Linked DNA regions of Schizosaccharomyces pombe. Changing the gene in region 1 together with any one later gene gives a genetic interaction. Each region holds a gene or a part of one and is shown in the gene's direction. Other genes may lie near its edges. The genes, in order: hsk1, rif1, swi1 and mcl1.

What was found.
Region 2: of hsk1 (region 1) and rif1, a mutation in one rescues a mutant of the other (synthetic rescue), as found in Schizosaccharomyces pombe (3 studies listed by BioGRID).
Region 3: mutations in hsk1 (region 1) and swi1 impair growth when combined (synthetic growth defect), as found in Schizosaccharomyces pombe (3 studies listed by BioGRID, with this or other methods).
Region 4: mutations in hsk1 (region 1) and mcl1 are lethal when combined (synthetic lethality), as found in Schizosaccharomyces pombe (3 studies listed by BioGRID, with this or other methods).

The regions. Positions count from the first base shown.
Region 1 is NC_003423.3:3,196,542-3,200,817, reverse strand, and holds hsk1 (Dbf4(Dfp1)-dependent protein kinase Hsk1), read left to right. Parts: upstream 1-1,616; 5' UTR 1,617-1,842; coding exon 1,843-2,071; exon of another isoform or gene 2,072-2,129; coding exon 2,130-2,975; exon of another isoform or gene 2,976-3,038; coding exon 3,039-3,487; 3' UTR 3,488-3,758; downstream 3,759-4,276. Other genes in the region: condensin complex non-SMC subunit Cnd1, read right to left, coding at 1-325, 417-495, 566-680; rpl2801 (60S ribosomal protein uL15), read right to left, coding at 3,881-4,276. UniProt on the Schizosaccharomyces pombe protein: Required for G1/S transition. Plays a role in DNA replication checkpoint signaling through regulating rad3 and cds1. Involved in the maintenance of mitotic chromosome structures during S phase through regulating the function of rad21.
Region 2 is NC_003424.3:2,764,714-2,771,246, forward strand, and holds rif1 (telomere length regulator Rif1), read left to right. Parts: upstream 1-1,559; 5' UTR 1,560-1,656; coding exon 1,657-5,859; 3' UTR 5,860-5,990; downstream 5,991-6,533. Other genes in the region: tpz1 (telomere-protecting protein), read right to left, coding at 1-39, 78-112, 159-409, 453-550, 607-720; serine/threonine protein kinase Ppk6, read right to left, coding at 5,991-6,182, 6,223-6,533. UniProt on the Schizosaccharomyces pombe protein: Negatively regulates telomere length. Appears to play no role in transcriptional silencing of telomeric loci.
Region 3 is NC_003423.3:908,738-916,469, reverse strand, and holds the start of swi1 (replication fork protection complex subunit Swi1), read left to right. Parts: upstream 1-1,690; 5' UTR 1,691-1,876; coding exon 1,877-2,824; intron 2,825-2,840; exon of another isoform or gene 2,841-2,899; coding exon 2,900-4,867; 3' UTR 4,868-4,944; coding exon of another isoform or gene 4,945-7,732. Other genes in the region: TORC1 serine/threonine protein kinase Tor2, read left to right, coding at 1-1,199; ATR checkpoint kinase Rad3, read right to left, coding at 4,945-7,732. UniProt on the Schizosaccharomyces pombe protein: Forms a fork protection complex (FPC) with swi3. FPC coordinates leading and lagging strand synthesis and moves with the replication fork. It is required for programmed fork-pausing which is necessary for mating-type switching.
Region 4 is NC_003424.3:3,282,470-3,287,458, reverse strand, and holds mcl1 (DNA polymerase alpha accessory factor Mcl1), read left to right. Parts: upstream 1-1,706; 5' UTR 1,707-1,713; coding exon 1,714-1,905; exon of another isoform or gene 1,906-1,950; coding exon 1,951-2,102; exon of another isoform or gene 2,103-2,160; coding exon 2,161-4,264; 3' UTR 4,265-4,455; downstream 4,456-4,989. Other genes in the region: DNA-directed RNA polymerase III complex subunit Rpc82, read right to left, coding at 1-712, 792-857; SPOM_SPAPB1E7.01C (uncharacterized protein), read left to right, coding at 4,754-4,989. UniProt on the Schizosaccharomyces pombe protein: Has a role in regulating DNA replication complexes. Acts as a regulator of post DNA replication initiation. Associates with chromatin during G1 and S phases of mitosis. Required for the transcriptional repression of the outer repeats of the centromeric region.

The DNA.
Region 1 (4,276 bases):
TTTTTGAAATAATGTTATGATTGCATCTAACAAAGCATTTACATGTGAGATACCATTCCAGTTAGAGTTAGTAGTTGGATTTTTTTTTCTTCCCTTAACAGTATTAGTGGATGACCGAATAACTGAAAGTTGATTTGAGGAAGAAAGGGAATTGACCGTGAGCTGAAATGCAATGCCTGTAGTTTCTAAATTCGTTTGAGGTACAGTAAAATCAGTAGCATTTGCGGAAATCATATCTTCAAGAATAGCGGATTCAGAGCTGATATTACTCGTGAGTAAATCATATACTTTATTCCTTACAGAGGAAGAGAGGTCAGCAAAGTGTCTAAACCATTATTGTTAGTTTGGTAAAATTGATATATAGTAAACCAAATGGCTTCCTTCTATTTGAATAACACAAAATAACAACTACTTACGAACATATAGCAAAGAGTTTTTCCAAGCAATCCTCGTCGAAACAAGAACTCGTTCCTAATAAAAGGGTATCAATGACGTCTAATTTTTCATTGTTAGTTATTGTGGAATCGATCATTTTCAATTTTTTTAAAAACCCAAATGTCCATACCGTTAACCACGGCTGTCAATCCAGCATTTTCACATTCAGCATAAATCGAGTCCAAGTCGGAATTTTCTTCATCATGAATGTATTTCTTTAATCTAGAAAGAAGATCCAACGACATTGAGGCCACTGAAAGCCGAATCTTTCTATGTTACGAATGAAATAAAAGATGGATTTGGCGTACTACATTCTAGTAGTCCTTGTAAACAATAACCCCACCTATATGTCCTGTGTGGGGGTCCATTTATACTTTCTTACTAACAAAAAAGAGCTACGGTTAGTCAAAATATAAAATAGGAGCTAGACTTAATTGTTGCTAACCACTTTAAGGATATAGAACGTGCTTTTATTAACTCATTTGTTTACATTAAAAAATAATATTTTAATTAACTTTTATTGAGCGTGCCACGTAAAAGCTATTGTTCTTTTTAGTACTTCTAATTAAATGTTTTGAAAAGAATTTAATATATTTTTTGAATAACGTTAGTTGTAAATTCTTTCTTGAGCTGTATTTCTGATATAAAAACTTATAATTTATTTTGGCGCATGTATCATTTTCAAGGTGATTTTCAAAATTATTATGAATGCAAATTTTGACGAGGTAAGCATTTGTGCTGTTTTTAGAATTTTAAAGTAATACACAATAAACTAAACAGAAAACCTATCGTAGTTTAACTAGGAATAAATTTCAAATTCAGGATAATTTTTTTATTTATTTTTAAATAACAGAAAAAAAAAACGTGTTTGAATACCATGGTTAATCATATTTACTCTCAATGTCCAATAAATAGTCAATTCTAGTTGTTTATGGTGGTTATTAACAATAACAAGAGCCCAAAGGATTTATGTTTTTTAAAGCAAGTCCTAAATTTAAAAAAAGATAAAGGACATGAAATCTTAATCTTTTCCATAAGTATACAAATATTATAGCAGAGTACTTTTTTTATTAAACAAAAGTTGGATTAAAAATGTATTTTTCTTGTTTGGAAGTAACAATGTCCCTCATTAGAAGAGCATTTTGCTTAACAATGTACAACTGGTGTTGAACCTGGAATCTGCAAATTCTTATATTCATGGAATGAGTTTGTGTTACACATTTTAAAAACTTGATTTTTTTGAATCTTAGTATTCGTTCGCGTGTTCGGTTTGAAGGTTTAAAATACGTGAAAATTTGTTTTTTCTTGGTTCCTTCCCTTGGCAGCATTTTACCATTTAATTGACGACTCTTTTAATTTTTTTTAAGTTATTATTTGGTTTAAAAATATATGAGTTAAACCGTTAACATGGCAGAGGCCCATATCACACTATCACCTAAAGTAACTCATGAACAACAAACAGATATTGATTCTGAATGTGAAATCACTGAGGTGGACGATGAAAATGTAAACGAAAACAAATCTCAAGAAATGATTCAAGATATCCCTGCACGAGACCGCGAAGAAATTGAAAATATCACAAGGACGTTCGTAGAGCTACAAGAGAACTATCGGCTAATTGAAAAAATTGGAGAAGGTAAACTTCAATTACCGTTTTTAGTACTGTTTTGAAACTATCTTGCTAATTCGTTTAGGTACGTTCTCCAGTGTATATAAAGCGGAAGACCTACATTATGGGAGGTATATTAATGATTGGGACATTCAAAGTGAAGTGTTAAAGGAATCTTCTTTTGGAAAAGAAAAAATTCCTGTTAATGAAGACAGCCGGAAACCGAAGTACGTTGCTATAAAAAAAATTTACGCGACAAGTAGTCCTGCTAGAATATACAATGAATTAGAAATCCTATATTTATTAAGGGGATCGTCGGTAATAGCCCCGCTAATAACTGCTTTAAGAAATGAAGATCAGGTACTCGTAGTTTTACCCTACTACGAGCATACTGACTTTCGTCAATATTATAGCACTTTTTCCTATCGCGATATGAGCATTTATTTTCGATGCCTTTTTCAAGCTATGCAGCAAACTCAGACTTTGGGAATCATTCATAGAGACATTAAGCCTAGTAACTTTCTCTTCGATGTTCGTACCAAGCATGGTGTCTTAGTTGACTTTGGATTAGCAGAGCGTTATGATGGAAGACAACAATCACATTCTTGCCGGTGCACTAATTCAAATGCGGCCGAATTAGCACATGATTTTTCGATTGCGCAGGAAACATCTCTTGGATACATAAAAAACGATACTCGACCAAGCAAACGGGCCAATAGAGCCGGAACTCGAGGATTTCGAGCACCTGAAGTATTGTTTAAATGCTCATCTCAATCACCCAAAGTTGATATTTGGTCTGCTGGGGTTATTTTGTTATCTTTCCTTACTAAACGTTTCCCCATGTTTAATTCAAAGGACGACGTGGATGCACTCATGGAGATAGCATGTATATTTGGAAAAAGCGAAATGCGCCAATGTGCTGCTTTACACGGTAAGAACGATCTAATGTCCCTTACGGAAGTGTTTGTGTTGATTTTTTTCGCTAACCTGCCAGGTTGTACGTTTGAGACAAATGTAAGCACGCTTACAGAAAAAAGAGTAAACTTTAGGAAACTTATTTTGTGGGCCAGTTGTGGTTCAGCCAGTATATACAAAGAAAAGCTTCGTCATAAACCAAGCCAAGAAGAGCGATTGTGCCTGGATTTTTTAGAGAAATGTCTTGAACTTGACTGTAACAAAAGGATTTCAGCTGAGGAAGCATTGGATCACGATTTCTTGTATCTCGATAATTTAGCTTACGAAAAGAAAGATGACGATACAGCTTTTGATAATAGCTTTGGAGAAACCTCTTTCGAGAAAGACGAAGACTTAACTGCTAAGCACTTATCCCATATCCTTGATTTTAAAGAGCAGGAAGAAACAGATGAACCTACTTCTTTATCAAAGCGGAAGCGAAGTATTGATGAAATTTTACCAAATGATGCTTTGCAGGATGGAGCTTGAGAAGATTTGCTGGCAATTTCTCATCAAGCAATCACTTATATTTGTGCATACATTTTCATTTACAGTATAAGCATTACTGTAATCATTGGGTATTAAAGTGAAAGCATTATTGTATGTCTATACATCGAAAATACCCTATGGAATTTTTGGGGTGCATTTTCAGTTACAAACATTAATCCATAATTAATTTTACCATAGCATAACGAACACATATCAGCAGGTGAGGCTTTTTCACTTACTGACTTAATTGAAATAAAATCTCTATACACTATTTGACCAGAGAATAACACTACAGATTGATCATACAACAATTATATTCCATCAAAGTATAGACGGATAAACGAATCAAACAAAATTAATTTTATTAAGCCACTAAGCAATCACAGGATGTTCTTAGGCAATGAGCTCAACGACACCACCAGCTTGCTTGATCTTCTCTTCAGCACGACGAGAGACATAACGTGTTTGAATGATGACGGGAGTATCAGGCAGACGACCCTTACCCAAAACCTTACCGTAACCAGATTGTAAGACATTAATAACGGGGGCAACCTCCGTGTTTTTACCAAGATACTTTTCACGAGTTTCGTTGGGAACCAAGGTCCAAAGACGATCCAAATTGACAGTAGGACGCCACAAAGGATTCTTCATGAGGTGGAATCGACGCATACCAACCTTACCAAAGTAACCAGGGTGATACTTATCAAAGTGACTACGGAGGTGTTGCAAACCACCGGCCTTACCACGACCACCGGGATGCTTCCTGTGCTTACCAATACGACCATGGCC
Region 2 (6,533 bases), on another chromosome or scaffold:
GATATCTCTAGAATTACTAGTATTGTCATTAGGTTTTTCCTTGACATTAGTAAACTTGGCTAAAATTTACAAAATACCTGTTGACTAAGGGAGGCTTCCTGGTAAGACGATCCTAGAAAAAGGGTCAATTATAGATCGTGTAAAATTACAAATAATACCTTCTTTAATTGATCGGTTAAATTCATTGGCAAGCGCAGCAAGATAAGGTGATTGAAGCAATGCATTAAACAATGCAGAAGTTGTAATAGCTTTAGGGTTTCCAAAAACAGCACCCTCACAACCCTGAAAATTAAATGACTCTACTTGTATCCAAGGAATAATGCCTGATTGACTAGGAATTAAGTGAATTAAAAAATTGCCCAATGTCACGATACCTCCTCTTAAAGATGTTATCCTTTTTTCAGTAAAACTAAAAATCACAATCAATATTGTGCTGATAAATTGAAACATACTTATTTAAGTCCGAAATGCTCTGAGACGAAAACTCTGCTTCAATGTAAAACTCTGTATCGGATAGCTTGCATCGAATTGGATGTTCGTATCGTATATACTGAAGTTTAAATATAGTCAGAATTGGTTCGAAAGATAGAAGATAAAGTATAATACCTCAAATATTTGTAAAGGCTGACATTTAAATACACGTATCGGAAGGACATCTGCGTTTTTGATCAAATTCAATAGTCCATTCTCAAGCCAAGGATGTTTTAAGCAATTTGACATTGCACTGTTTAACGCAGCTAACTTTTATATAAAAATCAACTTTTTTTAATAAGTAACAGTGCTGACTGAAGTCTGTTGATATTTAATCGTCTACTTTTTTTCTTGAAAGCAAGGTCAGCAGAACACTGCATTCATCATTTCCTCAAAACAAAATAATTGAAATATTATCATCAACTCCAAGGACTTGGTTCTTCTAGTTTAGTTACTGTCAAAAGCACTTTCAATCTAGATTTTGGATAACAACTTTTCAGTATTCCAAATCTTTAGAAGTTACTACTCATGTATTTAGTAATGGTTCATCCAAAAATTTATAAGAGAAGAATCAAATAATAGCAGGTTGCTGTATCTCCCATTAACAAAATTGACTTACTTCAAAGGAATTGCTGTAACCTTCTACCCCAGACGACAAAACTTGAAAAATTAGGCAAGAATTTTCTTTTGCTTAGAACTGTTTTATAAAATTTTGGTGATAAGTTAATAAAGGGTGGAATGAATTGGCTTAAGAATGTACTGAGTTATTTAGTTACTGCACTTATTACTACAAGAATTTTAACCACGCATTTTAAATGTGCGGATATCAAACATACTAAAGATTGAAGCAATTACCGGACATTTATTTATAAAAGATCAACAATACAACCAATCTGCTTTTCAATTTTATTCTTTATACTACTTCAATTTGCTGCTGCTAAGTCTAAATTGGTGTACAGAAATAAGTAAAAAAAATTTCATAATTGAAAGAATAAATTAGCTTTTTTCAGTGTTGTTAAAGATCTCAATAGCTTGGTACCGTGCTGAACAGTGTTTACATCTATAACTCAACTCACATTTAGCCTACTACCACCATTTTGTAAATAAACTTATTTGTGCAATTTTTTGGTGCGATCGGTCCCATGAAGCTAAAACATTTTTAAAAGCATAACAGCTGATGTTGCGATGACAAAAGAAATTGCTGTGAAGGAGGCTTCAAATATGCTTCTACAAGAACCTTCAACCCCATCATCACAAGCTGTAGGACTGAGCAGCTCACCTAGTAGTTCGATTCGTAAGAAGAAGGTAAATTTTAGTAGTGAACTAGAAAATTCCCCCGGTGGAAATCGACCATCTTTCGGTTTACCCAAACGAGGTATCTTAAAAACTTCAACACCTCTATCTAGTATCAAACAACCAAATTTTCAATCCTTTGAAGGAAATGAATCTGAAAAAGAGACTTCCTTGCAAGAACTACAATCCTCGTTTTGTTCCGGAATAGAAAATCTTCAACATGTTGAAAAATCTGCTCGAATCGAAACATACTCAAAACTGTCTTCCTTTTTGAAAATCTATACACCAAGTCTTCCCGAGGATCCAATATTCCCCCTTTTAAATCAACTTTGCAATTTTTTATTATCGGATAGATGCTCTAACAATTCAGAGGGTAGTCCCGATTTTCAATTGAATACTCAAGCAAACAAACTTCTCAGCATACTTCTTTGGCATCCAACTATTTCTTCTCACATTCAACCAGAAACTGCCACAGTCTTCATTGAGCAGTCGCTGAATTTTTTAGAAGGACCAAAGTTAACTAAAGCACTCGCGGCTCAGCATTTGCATCTTCTTTCTTGTCAAAAATGCCCTCTTTCCATTCACCCTTTATGTAATCGTATTTTAGACGTGTGTTTTAACATTTCATTCCCTTCCCTTGTTATAGGTCAGGAGCGATTAGCTGTCTTAACAAAAATTTTAAGCCAATTTCCACTAGAATTTTCGCGTCGTGTAGTTGATTGGGCTCCTTATCTGCTAGCTTGTTTAGTTGATGCCTCAAGGCCTATCCGTGAGAAAGCGTTATTACTTGCTTTGGACCTGAGCAAACATTTGTATCACGACAAGTTAGTCGCACGGACTATCCTCGCTAATTTTAGAAGTGATATTAAGGGAACTGCATTTGTTCTTATCATGACAGAGCAATTTGAGAAGCTTGTCATTGAAGAAGACGACGGTGTCTATGTGGCTCATGCCTGGGCTGCCATCATATCAGTTTTGGGAGGTGCAAGAATTTCCTCATGGGAATACTTTAACACATGGCTTAAAATTATTCAGCTTTGTTTTAACAGCATGAATCCTTTAACTAAGTGTGCAGCCCAAACATCTTGGATCCGTTTAATTCATGAGTTTTCTCTTTCTGAAACCCTCACACAAGCTACCAAGCGGTTAACTCTTTTGTGTCAGCCTATTTCCATGGTTCTAGGTTCAAGGAATTTGCCAACAGTAAAGAATGCAGCAATGACTACTTTGATTGCTTTAATATATGCATGTTTGAGGCCCGGAATCTCTGATGCCATGCTCTCTTTACTGTGGGATTCAGTTATTGTCAACATACTTGAAAAGTGTGCCTTGAAAAACGAGGTTACTATTTTTGAGTCTTCTAACATACTTTTGGCTCTCTTTAACACGCTGTCTAATGGAGTTTGGAAAGATGACCGCTTGGTTTGCCGTGAATCGGTAGAAGCAAAAGAACTTCCAAAGCTCAATCCTGTTTGGGTTCGTGCTAATTGTAGTCGGACAATTGAACCGGTCAAGACTTTACTTTTATTAGCCAAACCAGATCATACTGTTAAAACCACTACGCCTGCTCGTAAACAGCATATACGAGGTCTTAGTTATGAACAAAGTTCGTCTGTTTGGAGTACTTATATAAAGTGTTTGGCCAGTGCTGGACAGAAGGAAATTAAAAGGTCTGTAGAGACTGGCCGAGCTATATGCTGCATATGCTCATCGCTTCACAAATTTTTATATTCGAAATCTATTCGTAAAGATGAACTGTATGTGGAAAGAGTCTCGAGGTTTGCATTAATGGTTAAGTCTGCCATTGAAGCTTTTGGTATTAATACATTCGTCGAAGCATCATATCTGGTTTCCGATAATCAGCTTGTTTTAATAGATCAGACAAAAGCAATCGATAGTTATGATCATGTCCCAATTAGCCCCTTAATTTACTTGCTCCACTCTCTCGCTCTTTTAACAAACGGCACATTATTTTCGACTGTACATGCCGCTTACAGCAGTATTCTGTCATCCATTGAAGAATATCATTTAAGATTTGGTTTAAAACTTATGTTACTTTGGGATTGTGTATCTCCTTTGAGTGACGATGGAACTTTAGTGCTTGCGAGAGTTCTCGTTTCCCATGAAGTATCTAGGTTGACCTCGGAGGCTCTGCTTTCAGAACTTAAAAGTCGGAATGGAAATAATTCAGTAGAAGAAGGATTTTCAGAAGAGGAGCGATCCATATTACTTAAACTATTAAGTTGGAATGTGAAGTTTTGCAGTATTAGTGATGCTGGTAGTGTAAACAATCTTCTTCAACAATACTTTACCGCTATTTATAAATTTGAAGGATGTGGTAGCGTTTTTCCTTTTGTCGTTGATCCTTTTACTACAATCCTCGATGATGTATTAAGTTTTGAAGCAAATAAAGTTTATTCATTTGCCATATCTTTGATGAAAGTTTCTACTTTTGAAAGTTGCACAAAGGAGCTACCACCTGTAACATTACCTGAAAATATCAGACAACACCTGGATAGTTACAACCACATGGTCGAATTGTATAATACACTGTTACAAAGGTTATCAAGTTCCGATCAAGTAGATCTACAGTGTCGCTATCTTCATGAGCTTTCTGAATTTATAAAGAAAATACCCAAAGAGTTCATTTTTCATACTATTTGTAAGTTGTCTAAAGGTTTGATACCTTGCTTCCTTATGAACGCTTTTCCACAATTAGAGAAATCTACCACATTACAAAAATCATGTACCAACTTTTGTATATTAATTTTGCAGCTGCTACTAAATTCCACTGCTACAGCTTCTAATATTTTAGAATCTCTTTCTCCGCTGTTGACATCAGGTCTTAAAAGTATTTCAAAAGAGGTGGTCCTTGCTGCTATCAAGTTTTGGAATCAAGTTTTTGGTAAATTTGAATCGGAAGAATACCCTATTGAACTACAAAAAACAATATCGTATCTGAGCAAAACTTATATTATTCTTTTACCGTTTCAGTCACTATGTCCTGGTGGTAAGCAAGCCAACCATCAATCGAGCGAAAAGATGTCGGATATATTAAAAGGAGTTGATGAGTTGCGATCTGTCTCTAAGAATGGTCCTTATGCTTCTTCACAAGATAAAGGAGAAAAGACTACCGAATTCTCTGGTCCTGGTAAACCTAATAACGACAATTACATACAGATTGCTTCTGTGCAAGAATTAGACGACAGCTCAAAAGGGAAAGCAGGAAAAATGCCAGCGTCTAAGAAAAATAAAAGACAAAAAGGTGATGTTAAAAAAATTGATGAAACAAAAAATGAAGCTACTGATATGGAAGAGTCTTTGACAACACCGTCTGGCAAGGTCAATAAGGAAGTAATTGTAGACGATACTTCTTTAAGAGATGAAGCAATTGTACCTGATAAAGCTATAGATGTGGCAGACAACTCTAACGCTCTTTTAAAGGAAAATATTTCAAGCCAAAGCAATAGGAAAGCTGATAATAATGGAACGCCGAGTGTCAATAACTCCTTCACTACAGCAAATAATGATGAATGTTCAAAAGAAAATTCTCAGATAGAACCAGAAGGGCAAACTGCCTCTCGTGAAGGTGTTCTATCTACTCCTCGCAGTACTAGAAAGAAACGAAAACTTGGACGTAAGAGCCAATCTTCCAACGTGAATAAGGAAGTTGCAATTAGCGAAGTGTCCGCAACCTTGGAAAATGTGGAAGTCATAGAACGACATGGGATTTCAGAACAGGGACAGAATCTGGACGAATCTGCTTGTGTACTTACTAATGAAAGTAGTTTGAGCCAAACTGAAATACCAGAGGAAAAAACCGAGAATGAAACAACTGCAGTTAACGGATTTGAAAATTCCAAGAAACGACAATTTTCGAGCTTACTTTCAGGGTCCATTGATACAAACAATGAATCCAACAAAGTTTCATCTGTAGAGTTTGATAAATCTGGTCCTCAAGACATTATACAATCAATGACGGAAGCCACTTTTGAAATCGAAAAGAATATACAAGATTTAAAATCGGAGGAAGTTCAGAAGCTTAGTGATTTGTTGATGAGATTACAGAGAGCTATTTTATCTAGAATTGCTTGATTATTCAACTCATGGGTACAGGAATTACGGACCGGCATTGGGGTCAATTTAGTCATAAATCAATCTTATTAATGGGGTTCATACTGGCATTTAATATATAACATATGTATATAGATAAGAACTTTCTAGTTTCAAGAGGATAGAGGTATGCGTATATGTGATGTGTCCAAATATCTTATATCATCAAACCAATGATGTTGTAACGTCTCTTCAATAGTAATGCGATCATGCACATTTCTATCAAGCATTCGACAAATTAAATCGACATTATCTTTCGATAGTTCAAAAGGAATTCTAAGTTTGGCGTCCAAAATCTCTTCGATCTAATAATTAGTTAGCATACCATTATAATAATTCTCTTACGTTATAATAAGGGTTTTCCCGATAAACTATCGTGTATAATAAAATACCCAAAGCCCAAATATCCTGTTCTTTACCGAGATATTTTTCACCTCTTAGTAGCTCCGGAGCAGCAAAACCAACTGTACCCCGAAATGTATCAAAAGGCCCGTTTTTCGTAAGGCTCGAACTACCGAAATCAATGAGTCTTGCACATCCGTTTCCTTCTAGAATTACGTTTTCATCTTTGATGTCTCGGTGGATTATGTCAAAAGAATGCAGATGGGCAACAGCTAATGCGATTTGGAAAAATATAGCCTTGCTCTCTTTCTCAG
Region 3 (7,732 bases), 2.3 Mb from region 1:
AGTTAGCTGTTCCGGGAACATACGTTAGCGGGAAACCTGTTATAAGAATTGTAAAGTTTTACCCTACATTCAACGTGATAACATCTAAGCAACGTCCGAGACGACTGAGTATTAAAGGCAGTGATGGAAAAGATTATCAATATGTTTTAAAGGGTCACGAGGACATCAGACAAGATGAACGTGTTATGCAGCTATTTGGGCTTTGTAACAATCTGTTACTAGCTGACCCGGAAACTTTTAAGCGCTTACTTTCAATCCAAAGGTATCCAGTGATTCCTTTATCACCGGATTCAGGCCTTTTAGGCTGGGTTTTGGATAGCGATACTTTGCATGTCTTAATTCGTGACTACAGAGAAAGCAGAAAGATTTTACTCAACATAGAACATAGGTTGATCATTCAGATGGCTCCAGATTACGATCGTCTCACTCTCCTTCAGAAAGTTGAAGTCTTTGAATATGCCCTACTTAGTACTACGGGGCAGGATTTATACCGCGTTTTATGGCTGAAGAGTCGTAGCTCAGAAGCTTGGCTTAATAGGCGAACTAACTATTCTCGTACTCTTGCGGTGATGTCAATGGTAGGGTACATCTTAGGTTTGGGCGATCGTCATCCTTCCAATTTGATGCTGGACAGGTATACAGGTAATATCATCCATATCGATTTTGGAGATTGTTTTGAAGTAGCAATGCATCGAGAAAAGTTTCCCGAGAAGATTCCTTTCCGCCTTACGCGAATGCTTGTTAACGCAATGGAAGTTAGTGGTATAGAGGGGACGTTCCGGATAACATGCGAACATGTTATGCGAGTTCTTCGTACTAATAAGGAGTCTGTGATGGCAGTTTTAGAAGCTTTCGTTTACGATCCTCTTATTAACTGGCGCCTTGCTCCTGCATATTCACCTTCTATCGATGAAAAGCAATCTAACGAACCTAATACACTTCTCGGTGAGACAATTGATGGTTTACACCGGAAACGCTTAAACGAAGAAGGAATTACACTTGAAGAACGTCAAAAACCCGAGATACTCAATCAAAGAGCTATAACCGTTCTTAATCGTGTGTCCAATAAACTTACTGGTCGGGATTTCAAACCCCAACAGCAATTGGATGTACCAAGTCAAGTAGAGAAGCTGATTTTACAAGCAACCTCTATAGAGAACCTATGCTTGTGCTATATTGGCTGGTGTAGTTTCTGGTAGGTGACAGTCCCAAACGTTCAAATTGCTTTTCTGCCGCATCATATATATATTCTATATTAAATAAAGTGTAAATAGTCTTTATGAATGAGTCCTGTAACAATTTATTACGTTGTTTTACAATTTTACAAAATAGAGGAAATGTTGAATTTGACGCAGAATTTTTAGAATTTTGTAGTAGAGAATGCATCTCTTTATATTGTTATTAAAGATTTGCTGCTTAATCATTCTGAAAATAATAAACTCTAAATTTCTACATCTGAAATTGTGAAAATTATTGAAACTAAATTCTAATTATGCATTGTACAAGTTAGGTAGCAAATTCGTTTTGTTGAGTCCATATTATCGAATTTTATAATATAATACTGAATGCCATTTTAATGCGATTTAAATTATAAAGTGTTTTACTTTACACACATTTTTTTAAAAATCCAAGTTATTTTGAAAAGTTAAATATTGTTTTAAAAATTTATTATTCATTGTTTACTGTCACCACCCCTCTTCACGTATCTACAATCAAATTTACTTATCTTAAAAGAATACGATTATTCATGAACATAATTAATATCGCTTAATTATTAAAATTTATTTAATTTCTTAAATTTGGTTTATTTATCGACGCATACCGACAATACAAAAAAAAGGAACTTGAGAGCTTTTGATTTAACAAATCAACTTGAATGGAATTAGATGAGGTGATTCAAGGCATTGTTTCTGCCATTGGAGGATTTGACTATTCAGACGATGAAAAAGTGTACGTTCTTGGTGATGAAGCTTTGGCTTGCCTAAAGGATCTGAAGCGCTATCTTCAAGTAGTCGATGAAAAGTACAAAGTTTGGCAAATTCGATCTTTGCTCTCGAGCTTACAGTTGGTAACTAATGATATATGTCCAATACTCTCTGACTGGGATAAAGACATTACTAATTACAGAAACTGGCGTATCGCTTTAGCTTGTGTTGAGCTTCTTGTACCATTAACATGGCCTTTGGAGACTGAGCATGAAACATTCAGAGAAAATGTTGATGTTCTCTATAATCTGCGTCAAGCTCAATCAAATTATAAAAATTCAATTTTATCTTACAAGAAGGGGAGCGTTTTATCCGCCATTTTAGCTGTTTTACTAAAGCCCTTAAGTACTCCCGCAGAATCCAGAACACTTAGAGACAAGGGAATAATCAGGATAGTGCTGTTACTATTTCGAAACATTCTTCAAATCGATGAATTAAAAACAAAAAATGAAACAATTATCTCGTTTGCGAAAGCTCATATATTAGATTTGATTGTCACACTGGTCTCGAATCTCGATGAATTTGAGCATTTTGATGTTTACATATTAGAAATAGTCTACAACTTGATCAGAGGTTGTAAGCCATCAGCCCTTTTCTCTGATGCCTCATTGACTAACTCTCAAACCGAACTTAATAGCTTACTCCTCAAAGAGTCGACCCAAAATCGCTATTTGAAACGAAATGCACATACGAGGCATAATAGATTTGGAACCATGCTTTCTGTTCAAACTGAAGACAGAAGATTTACTATTGCTAGCCAAAATATAAAAACCGACGGCCTTGATGAGCTTGACTCTCATAAGCGTTTTCGAAAACGAGGAACACGTCGAAAACATTTTGTATGTACTTAGTTAAACACGATGTTTGTTTAAATTTTTTTTTCCAATTCAACTATTCTATTCTAACAATATTAGGATGACATAAACAAATCGTTCTTTATCAATACCGAGGCAGGTACTGCATTAAGGAACTTTGCTGTCGAATTTTTGGAAGCTGGATTCAATCCATTATTTCAGTCTCTCTTAAAAGACTTGGAAAGAGAAGATCCTCGTGTGCTTCCAATTCATAAAATGCAATTATTATACGTTCAGTCATTTTTTTTGGAATTCATGAGATTTTCGTCTAAACCAAAAAAAACAGAAGAAATTTACTCTAATGATTATAGTTTTGGCTTAGCAGCCTCCGTTTTTGACCAACGAGCTTTGATTATGCACAACAGGTTAATGGTAGAATCCTTTGAAATGAAACAATGGAGCACCTTCCAAGCATCCATGCTTTCGATGACTCAATTACTTTTCACTCTTCGAAGTATGACACTTTGTTCCTCAGAAATTTACCAAAGAATTGCCGATAATCTACTAAGCAATATCTTTTACCAAGAGGAAATTCTTTTACTTGTTTATAGCGCTTTAAAGCATTTTAAAACTCAGTCCTTTGGGTATTTAGATGCAATAACTGAGCTAACTATAGTGCTATTAAAGGAGCTTGAGAAATTTAGCAGTGCTAAACAATATCTCTATGTGAAAAAGAGAAGGAGAAATCAGAAATCTGTTGATAGCAATGTCTTGGAATCGGATGAAGATGAAGAAAGCAGCTTGATTAATGCTAATGCAGCCGTTGAGGACCGTCTGTTTGATTTCGGCAGATATGAGTCTAGGTACTGTGATAATGGATGTATTGATAGTTTCGTGCTGTTCCTTCAATGTTACCAAGATCTGGATTCAAAACAAATTCATAGGGCTATTTCCTTTTTTTACCGCATTTTCGTGAAGCAAAAATGCCATGTTTATTTGTATCGTCTCGATTTCCTACGTGTTCTGGACAAAATGTTTAATGACCATGTCTATTTTTCTACTACAAATTCAGCAAGACAGGATTTTGAACAATTTTTTGTATATTATATGCGAAAGCTTTCAGATGCATTAAAAGATGTACCAGCACTTTTTATTGAGTTGCCTTTCCCAAAATTAACCGACACATTTTATTATCTGGAATATGGAAAAAGTCCACTTTTCTCTATTCATGGTTCGAGAAAAGGCCCGTTATACGAGACGGTGCCTGGCTTATCACATTTGGAAAAGGTGGCTGCCGTTGTTGCATGCCTTATAAATGAAAACAAAAGTGATTTATTAGATGAATTGAAAGTTCAACTTAATTGCCTCATTTCAGAAAGAAAGCTAATAACGCTAGCTGACGAGAACAAATATATAAATGAAGGTGGAAATGATGGTGAAAGAATGGGGAAGAATTTGAAAGGAGACACAGATTCATTTAATACGGCCCTTTTGAAAGACGGAAAATTTCGTCTATTATTAGAATTATGTGGATTCGAAGAATCAGATAACAATATAGACGTTCAAGCACTATGGAAATTACCAAATTCTGTTATAATTGATGAACTTGTTGAGCATGCCATGTTGTTGAGAAGGTTTACTGATGATCCGCCGACGTTTGAAGGCACCAAGCCCGAAGATTTATTAGTGAGGAAGCAAAGAGGAAATGTTCGTTTACCATCAAGTAGTGAGGGTGAAACATCTGACGAAGAAATTGAATTTGAAGCAGATGATCCTATAACTTTCGCCAATCGTCGAGAAGCGTTAAATAAGATTACTGACAGAAAACGTAAAAAGATGAAAACTAACGAAACTATTATTGACCATACAACTCGAAAGAAAAAGGAAAACCATTTACGATCTGCAAAATATATTGTTGATTCGGATGATGACTCAGAAACAGATATAGCTTTTTTTCAATCAGAAGCTGCTTTACGAGAGAAAAATGCACAAAAAGCCAGTGCCCTATTTAAGCGAATCGACGATTTAGAAATGGAAGGAAAATTACAAGAAATTGAACAACTCAGCGAGAATTCTTCATCGGATTAATAAATAAAATATCTTCGATTCAAATCATAAGTTTAATAATGGGTAGCTTGTTCATTGAAATTTTTGTTAGTAAAATGCTAGAAATAAGCAGCCCAACCAATGTACATTTCTACCAGGTTTTTTGGGTTGACAGCAGATTTGATCAATTCTTGAATTTGCCCTTCAATAGATAAAGGTATCGTCTCCCCTGGCATAAAGCCTTGAAATTTTTTGCGAATTATATCCAAAACTTCATTTGCTTCATTATTCGGGTACTTGCTTGACGACTTCTTTCTATTCCACTCGACTAAAGGATCATGTAGGAAAGACTCTAGTACGCTCATCAATGTATCTTGGTTTGAGCGAAGAAGCCGCATCGTTATTTCGCTAGCTTTCCTGAAACCCCCTTCATAACCTGTCGGACCCATTGCATCTACCATATTATGAGTTAATCTGAACGGCACCTTTTCAGGTTTTTCAAAAGTAAGACCTTTATCAAAAAGACAGTTGAAATCGACATGGATAGCTTCACCTGTAAATTCATCAAACAATATGTTTTCGCCATGGCGATCTCCCAAACCCAAAACGTAGCCAACTATTGACATTACTGCTAAAGTTCGGCAATAGTTTTGTCTACTAGTAACCCAATTATTTGGTTCTGGGAAAGATTCAACAAACCACTCATAAAAAACTGGAGGAAATTTCGGTAAGATTTTCTTTTCAAATATATCACCAGGGTTAGGACTTCGCAGTGCAAAGTCTAAATCAACTTTGATTTCTTGATATGATATGGGAATGTTTTTCTGTCTATAGCTTTTTAACAAAATTTCTCTAAATGGACGAGTATGATTTACCCATTCGATAAATCCGCATTCTTCATTTAAAGGAATAACAACATAAGTTCTAATACACAAGTTCCTTCTGTTCGCTTCTTGATCTTTCCTCAATATTTTACAAATAAGATTATTAAATTCCATCAATCTAGCATCCTTACGAAGATCATCTTTGGGTTTGCACAAGAATGGGTATAAGTTGCCATCCGTACCTCTAACGTACACTTTTCTTGGTTTTTGAAGAGAGTTCATTATATCCACCTCATCCTCAAATTTCAACAGAGTAGGCTGAGTTTTTGGAAATGGATAATGACTAGCTCTGTTAGCATCTTTAGCTGGTAAAGTAATGTCTAAAAATGATTTAGCAGGAATGACTAAATCTACCGGATCATCAAAAGAAAGCCGAAAATGATCCTTTAAGCTCATTTTTACAGATTTACTGTTAATCCTTGTATTGCACAAATTGATTAACTTTTCAGTAATGAGAATTGCAGATTGACTGAGTGCTTTTATATCAACTTTGGAAGACATAGAAAGCTTCCTAGAATGTAAAACATTTAAAATGCTTTTTCCACGAAGCGAGCGCTTTTGAGAAGTCGATTTTATTGTTGCCATTAATTGCCATAGCGTCTCCCCAGGATAAGATGCTACAACGTTTGCAATTATATGTTCCAAAATTTTATAAACTTTATTATTTGGATGGCATACTCTGGATATCATTTGGGATAATGCAACCAGAAAAAAGTATTGAGGAATTTTCATAGAAAGGCGACAAACATTCGAATTCATAAGTTCCAAAGATTTTTTTCTCGAAGAGATAATGTGTTCACGAAAGTACTTTTCGCCGTCATCTTTAGATAAGCGAAGTTCTTCGGCCCCAAAATCAAGCCACAGTGTGAGCAATTTTGGCATACTTTCATATATATGATTTGTACCATAGTACAAAGATCGACCAAATTCGTTAATTATGCGAGTTACTAACTCACCACTTAAAAATCGTTCGCTCTGTTCATTAACTGGGAGCTTTTGTTCTTCTTCATACATTAAAACTCGATGATGGCCAAGATAATAATGCGTATTCTCACATTCTGAGTAAATCTCTACCGCTTTATGATAATACGTCTCCAAATCCTTCAATCCCAGTTGGCCAGCTTTTCCGAGCCATTTTGTAAGTTTCAAGAACACTTTTCCTTTAAGTGGATTTCCTAAAGTTTCTTTACGATTTTTAGGTCTTTCTTCATGCTCATCAACCAAATCAAACATGTTGTTATTAAGCGAAAAATTCAATTCAGAAATAGCTTTACGATGTTGCCCTTGATGCCACCACCATTGTGCGTGCTCTATTGTTGCTAGCGGTTTATCTAAATCCATTGCTTTGAGGATGGCATTGAAGGCTCTTTGAAATTGACCATTTTTTCGAGATATTCTTGCAATCTCGAGATATATTTCAGCAGTTTTCTTCGTGTTTTCAAATTTTTCATAGCCAACTAAGTGAGTGGACAGGATTTGGTGCTTGAATTTACCGTACGGAGCTACTTGGCTAAGCCGACGGCGAAGAACAATATCAAGATTGTCGGAAACAATTCCGTCAGTTTCAGCAATCCTACTAAAGTCATTAATTGCGTGCAGCTTAGATAAAATATCATAACAATCATAGGCTGAATGGGCGCCTGTGTTTGCAATTGCTGTAGCAGCATCAACGTACAAGGGTTGCAGCCGCTCCGTCAATTCAGCAAAAGAATCCTTCCGTAGGTATTGGTAAAATATGCTACCCAATTTAGCTTCGAAAGATTCCAAGTTGCTTTTTGAAAGACACTTTTTTAACGAATCAATAGATAGCGAACGCCATGAAGCTTCAATACCCAAATTTAACATCTTCGAATACTCGTGGTTGTCATTGATTATAAAAGAATCTAAACTCAAAACAAGAGATTCATAATGCCCCGATTGCAGCATGCTGTTAAGCAAACCGATTTTCGCCTTTTTATTTTCAGGATCCTTTTGAATAATAATTTCGTAACAACTCAAAGCCGAGTCCCATGTTCCTGAATTT
Region 4 (4,989 bases), on another chromosome or scaffold:
CAGGTACAAGGATGCTATTATCATCGTCTAATATATTATTCAAATCCGTTGATACAGACGGAGCAGAGCCAACAGCACGTTTCCTTCTTTTTGTTGGATGTGGTATTGATTCCTTTGGCTTCCTGGTAAGTCCTTGTAGTTCTGACATATCTGCTGCACGAAGCTCTAACATTTCCAAGGCGACAGAATCATCAACCTCTCTATTTTTTTTTATTTCAGACACGTTTTCTGACTTTCTGCGATCTAAGTGCTTGATCCGGAGTTGCATTTCCTGATCTCCTACTGGTATTAAATGTCTCGGTTGCACTACTAGCAAAAACTTTTGGTAAATCAATTCCGTTAGATTTTTCTGCATCATACGGCTTTCTTCATCACTCCCATCAACCTTTTTATCGAAAGCATTGAATACTTCGAGTACACGTGCACGTCCTTGGGTACTAAGATATTTTACCACAGAGGCAGCCTCCTGGTTTAATTTTTGAGATATCAAATATACATCTTTACCTTTGCGAAGAATGTTATAAATTTCCTTCCATTGGGTCTCATAATATGTGACTTCACGTACATTTTCAATGACCGTAACGTACAAAACCATATGATGCTGCATTAAACTGACAAGTGCTTGTCGAATTTTTGGTCCTGGCAACGAAGTCCGTTTTTGTAGCATGGGAATCGTTAAACGACCATGCCTCAAAAGTGCACTAGCTACTGCCTAAATTGACAATAAATTGGTTAATACAAAAGACTTTGCAACCTCAACTTCAGATTTAGAAATACAATTGAATCCTTACCGAGCAACAATCACCGAAAAATTCCTCTACGAGAATCTCACACAGTTCTACAGCATACTGTGACATGATCAAGCAGATTACCAATCTTGCTTGGAATGGTAAATTGTTTGGCAGACGTAACTACAAAAAAGCAAAGATTTCACAACCTAGAGTATGCCAATAGCCTGTATTTTGTGCGTCGTTAAAGCAGCGTTAACATTTATAGTGTATCACTCTAATACAGAATAAAACTTTAACGATGTGCAAAAACGATTTTCATATTACTTTTTGAAAAAATACATACATATAATTACTGCGAGTATTAAATGAATGATCGAAATCTAATTGTATGATTAATTTATTTAACTTCTTTTTAATTTTCCTGTGAGAGGCTCCACTAGGTTTCTCAATTCCATTTCCATGTCGTTGATTTTTTGTGGTTTAATCAAGCATGACTTATCTGCAGATTCTGTTTTATAGCTTGTCATGGTAAGCATTAATTAAAATACTAAAAGACAATAGCTAATTGCATATTTTTCCTCCATTTAGAATATTGCTGTGCGGCTGTTTGAACATTTATAGCAGACATTTCAAAACTTTTTAACAGAACTGCTCTAATGGAACATCAAATACAACTTCAGAGTAATTAAAAAAAGCTCTGAAATGATTAAAGTTAAATTATTCCTATAGTCTCACATATAAGTTACTTTAGTATTAATTTCTAATTGTTAGCAGATGATTAAAAGCATGGATTGCATATTTTCAATCGTACTTGCATATGAAAATAAATTGTAGACAAACATTTGCAATTTCTCAATAGTGCTTTCGTGGTAGATTTTTTATTTAAATGTTTGTTTACATTAAATAGCGTAACTAGCTAACGAAAGTATCGCTATTGCCATACTAGTCCCAATCTCATATACAAACTCTTCCTCTAGCTATTATGGCAGGGAATAGGCTAGTTCCTAGATATGCCCATACAGATGGACTGACGCGTCTAGCGTATACTCGTGATGGGAAATTTCTTCTTACGGTCGGTTCTAATCAAGTAATCCGAAAATTTCAGGTTGGTTCTGATGAGGAACCCGACTCCATTGATAATCATCAAGATCCTATAACAGGAATTGCAGTTGCTGTAAGTGGTCCTCAAAAAAGTTTGGAGCTAATGACTTTTATATAGGAAAATTATTTTTGTACTTGTTCAGAAGATGCAACTGTCTGCGTATATCCCATCGATTCTCCTACCGAGCATACATTGCTGGCGCGTACTACTCTTCCTATTCGCGATGTGGCATATTCAGTAGATGGAAATTGGATTGCCATAGCTAGTGAGTAAGTTTTTTTTAGTGTATAATGCTCTACTTGGTCGTTTTCAGCCTAACAAATATAGTGAAACAGCAGTGAAAGTGGTTTCGTCCACTGATTCTTCACAAATTTTCTCTCTTCGTCCAGCTAAGGCTTCGAATAAACATGTAACTTATAGCCCGAACGGAAATTTTTTAGCAGTTTCCAGTTGCAATGGAATTTTGTATTTTTATGACACCCAAACTCGTGAACTCATCAAGTTCTTAACAAACACTATTGCCTCTTTAGAGGCAGAATCAGAAATTTGCTCAAAGGCGGCTTGGCATCCTAAAAACGGGACATTTGCAGTTGCGAGTACCGACCATTTTGTATCAGTTATTTCCCCTGATGACTGGCTTCCATTGTACAAACTTCTTCCAAAAGAGAATCATTCTGGTGTAACAGATATCTCCTGGTCCAGTAATGGAATGTACATAGCTGCTTCATTTAAAAAAGGAGGCATTTTAATTTGGGATACACAAAGTCATGAAGTAGTCGTTGAGCTCCCCTATAGTACAGTGGTGGCACTCGCCTGGCAGCCATTTGAAAACGTGTTATCATTTACTACAAATCAGGGAATTTTGTATTCATGTCCGGATGTCATTCCTAAATCAATATTGAAGGAAGAAAATGATCCTACGAAGCCTTTGACTTCGTCAAAAAGTAAAAACCGTACTTCCAAAGAGCTTGATGATCTTTTTGGTTCTGACGATGAGCAAAGTCAGAACGTCAATGATTTGGATGGGAACTCTGCCAACGAGGAAAATGAGTTTATCAATCATGATGGATTGGATTCATCTTTGGACCTAGATGGTGATAGTTATATGGTTGATGAAAACGACTTAAACCTTGCAAAGAAAAGAAAGCAGAAGGCGTTGATCGACAGAACTACAACAATAGAGAATGGTTCTAGTAAAAGACGTTTACTGCAAGCCTCAATACATAAACCCGTTCATACTGGAAGTACACCATGGCAGGGTAATAGAAGATATCTATGTTTGAACTTGGTAGGGTTTATCTGGACTGTACAGCAAGATGCAGAACACAACACTATAACGGTTGAATTTCATGATGAAACTACTCATAGAAAATATCACTTTGTTGATGACCAAAAATTTGAAATGGCATGCTTAGATCATGAAGGTGCTTTGTATGCTTCGCCTGCAACGGAAAGTTCACCTGGTGTTATTTATTATAAAGCACATGTTGATTGGTCGCGTAAATCTGAATGGGCAATGGCTTTACCCATGGAGAATGAAAGTCCTGTGACAATTTCATTAAGCTCAAGCGTTGTACTGGTATGTACGAGTGCTGGATATGTTCGCGTATTCTCAAGACAAGGCTTTCCAATTAGCATTCACAGGAGTAAACACTTGCCATTTGTAGCTTGTTCATCTTTTCAGGATACGATTATAACCATCGCCAACGATGGTTTGAGCTCTGATGGAAATTCTCGTCTTGTTTATTCCATTGAAGACATTTCTCGTGATGAAATGTTGCAAACTGGTGATGGGGTTGCATTACCACCCCAAGGAACGTTAGAGAGTGTTTTCTTTTCGGATGTTGGAGATCCTTACATCTACGATTCAACTGGGGTATTGTTGGTATTAATGCATTGGCGCATACCAGGACAAGCCAAGTGGATCCCTGTTTTAGATACAAATGAATTGGAGCGTCGCAAATCACGGCAAGAGTCTTATTGGCCTGTAACTGTTGCCGATAATCAGTTTCACTGTATATTGCTAAAAGGAGCCTCTCGATATCCCTATTTCCCTCGTCCGATGTTTACAGAATTTGACTTTCGTATTCCTTGTAATACGAACAATCCGGATGCTTCTACATCTGTTCCTGTTTTAGAAGAACTACAACTCCGTAATAAACTATTTTTGACTTTATTGGAAGATAGCATAGGAGATGGCGATGTTACGGAGGACGAAAAAATAAGCATTGCTAGACTAGAAGCTAACATTGACAAAGCCTTGTTGCAACTTATTCAAAAGGCTTGTCTCGAGGAAAGAATCGAACGTGTCTATGAATTGACAAAAACTTTGAGAAGGACAACAAGTATTGCTGCTGCTCAAAAGATTGCGCTCCACCATTCCCTTACAAATGTTGCTGAAAAAATTGGTAATCTACTATCTAACGTCTAAACCCTCACGTCTTAATTTTTATGTAACATTATTTTTTGCATATTAGTAGCTTGAGCTAATCAAAAGGGGTTTGAAGCAAAGCTATGCAGAAGTTTTGTCACGATCTTGCTCCTTTCTAAATTCATTTATATAAGCATCTAGCACTTTGATTTTTTTCTCATTTTTGTATTTAATAAACACATTTCATTTTGTTTACCATATAACCTCTATGTTTATATGTCAGTATATTCGGCATATATTTCGAGTCTATTTAGAAATTGCACAGGGGTACAAAAAATTGATTCATAAGAAAAGGTGGAAACATTTTTTAAAATGACAAAGAGTCACAAAGGAATTTGTATTCTTTTCCTTTCTGAAATGAAATAAAATCTAATGTAGAAACTGCAAAGCTCAGTGCCTTAGGGTGCGTTACAGTTCGTAAAGTTGCAGACACTAAGTGCAGTACAACTTTGTAAAGTGCCAAGCTGCAAACGAAAACACAATTTTAGCATGGAACAAAAAGTGAGTGCGGATGTGTTATTGAATAAATATCAAACATCCATAAGCATCACAAAAAACTTAATCAATTCGTGGTTGGGAAACGAAAATACATCTGTCAGTAGCGATGAAAAAAATGACGATCCACCGTTACAAGCTAGGCCGCCACGGTTAGGGTTGGGTGCTAGTAGAAAAGACCAGTCAGAAAACAGCTGGGTTACTTCCAAAAATGAGAAATTGAAAAGCCT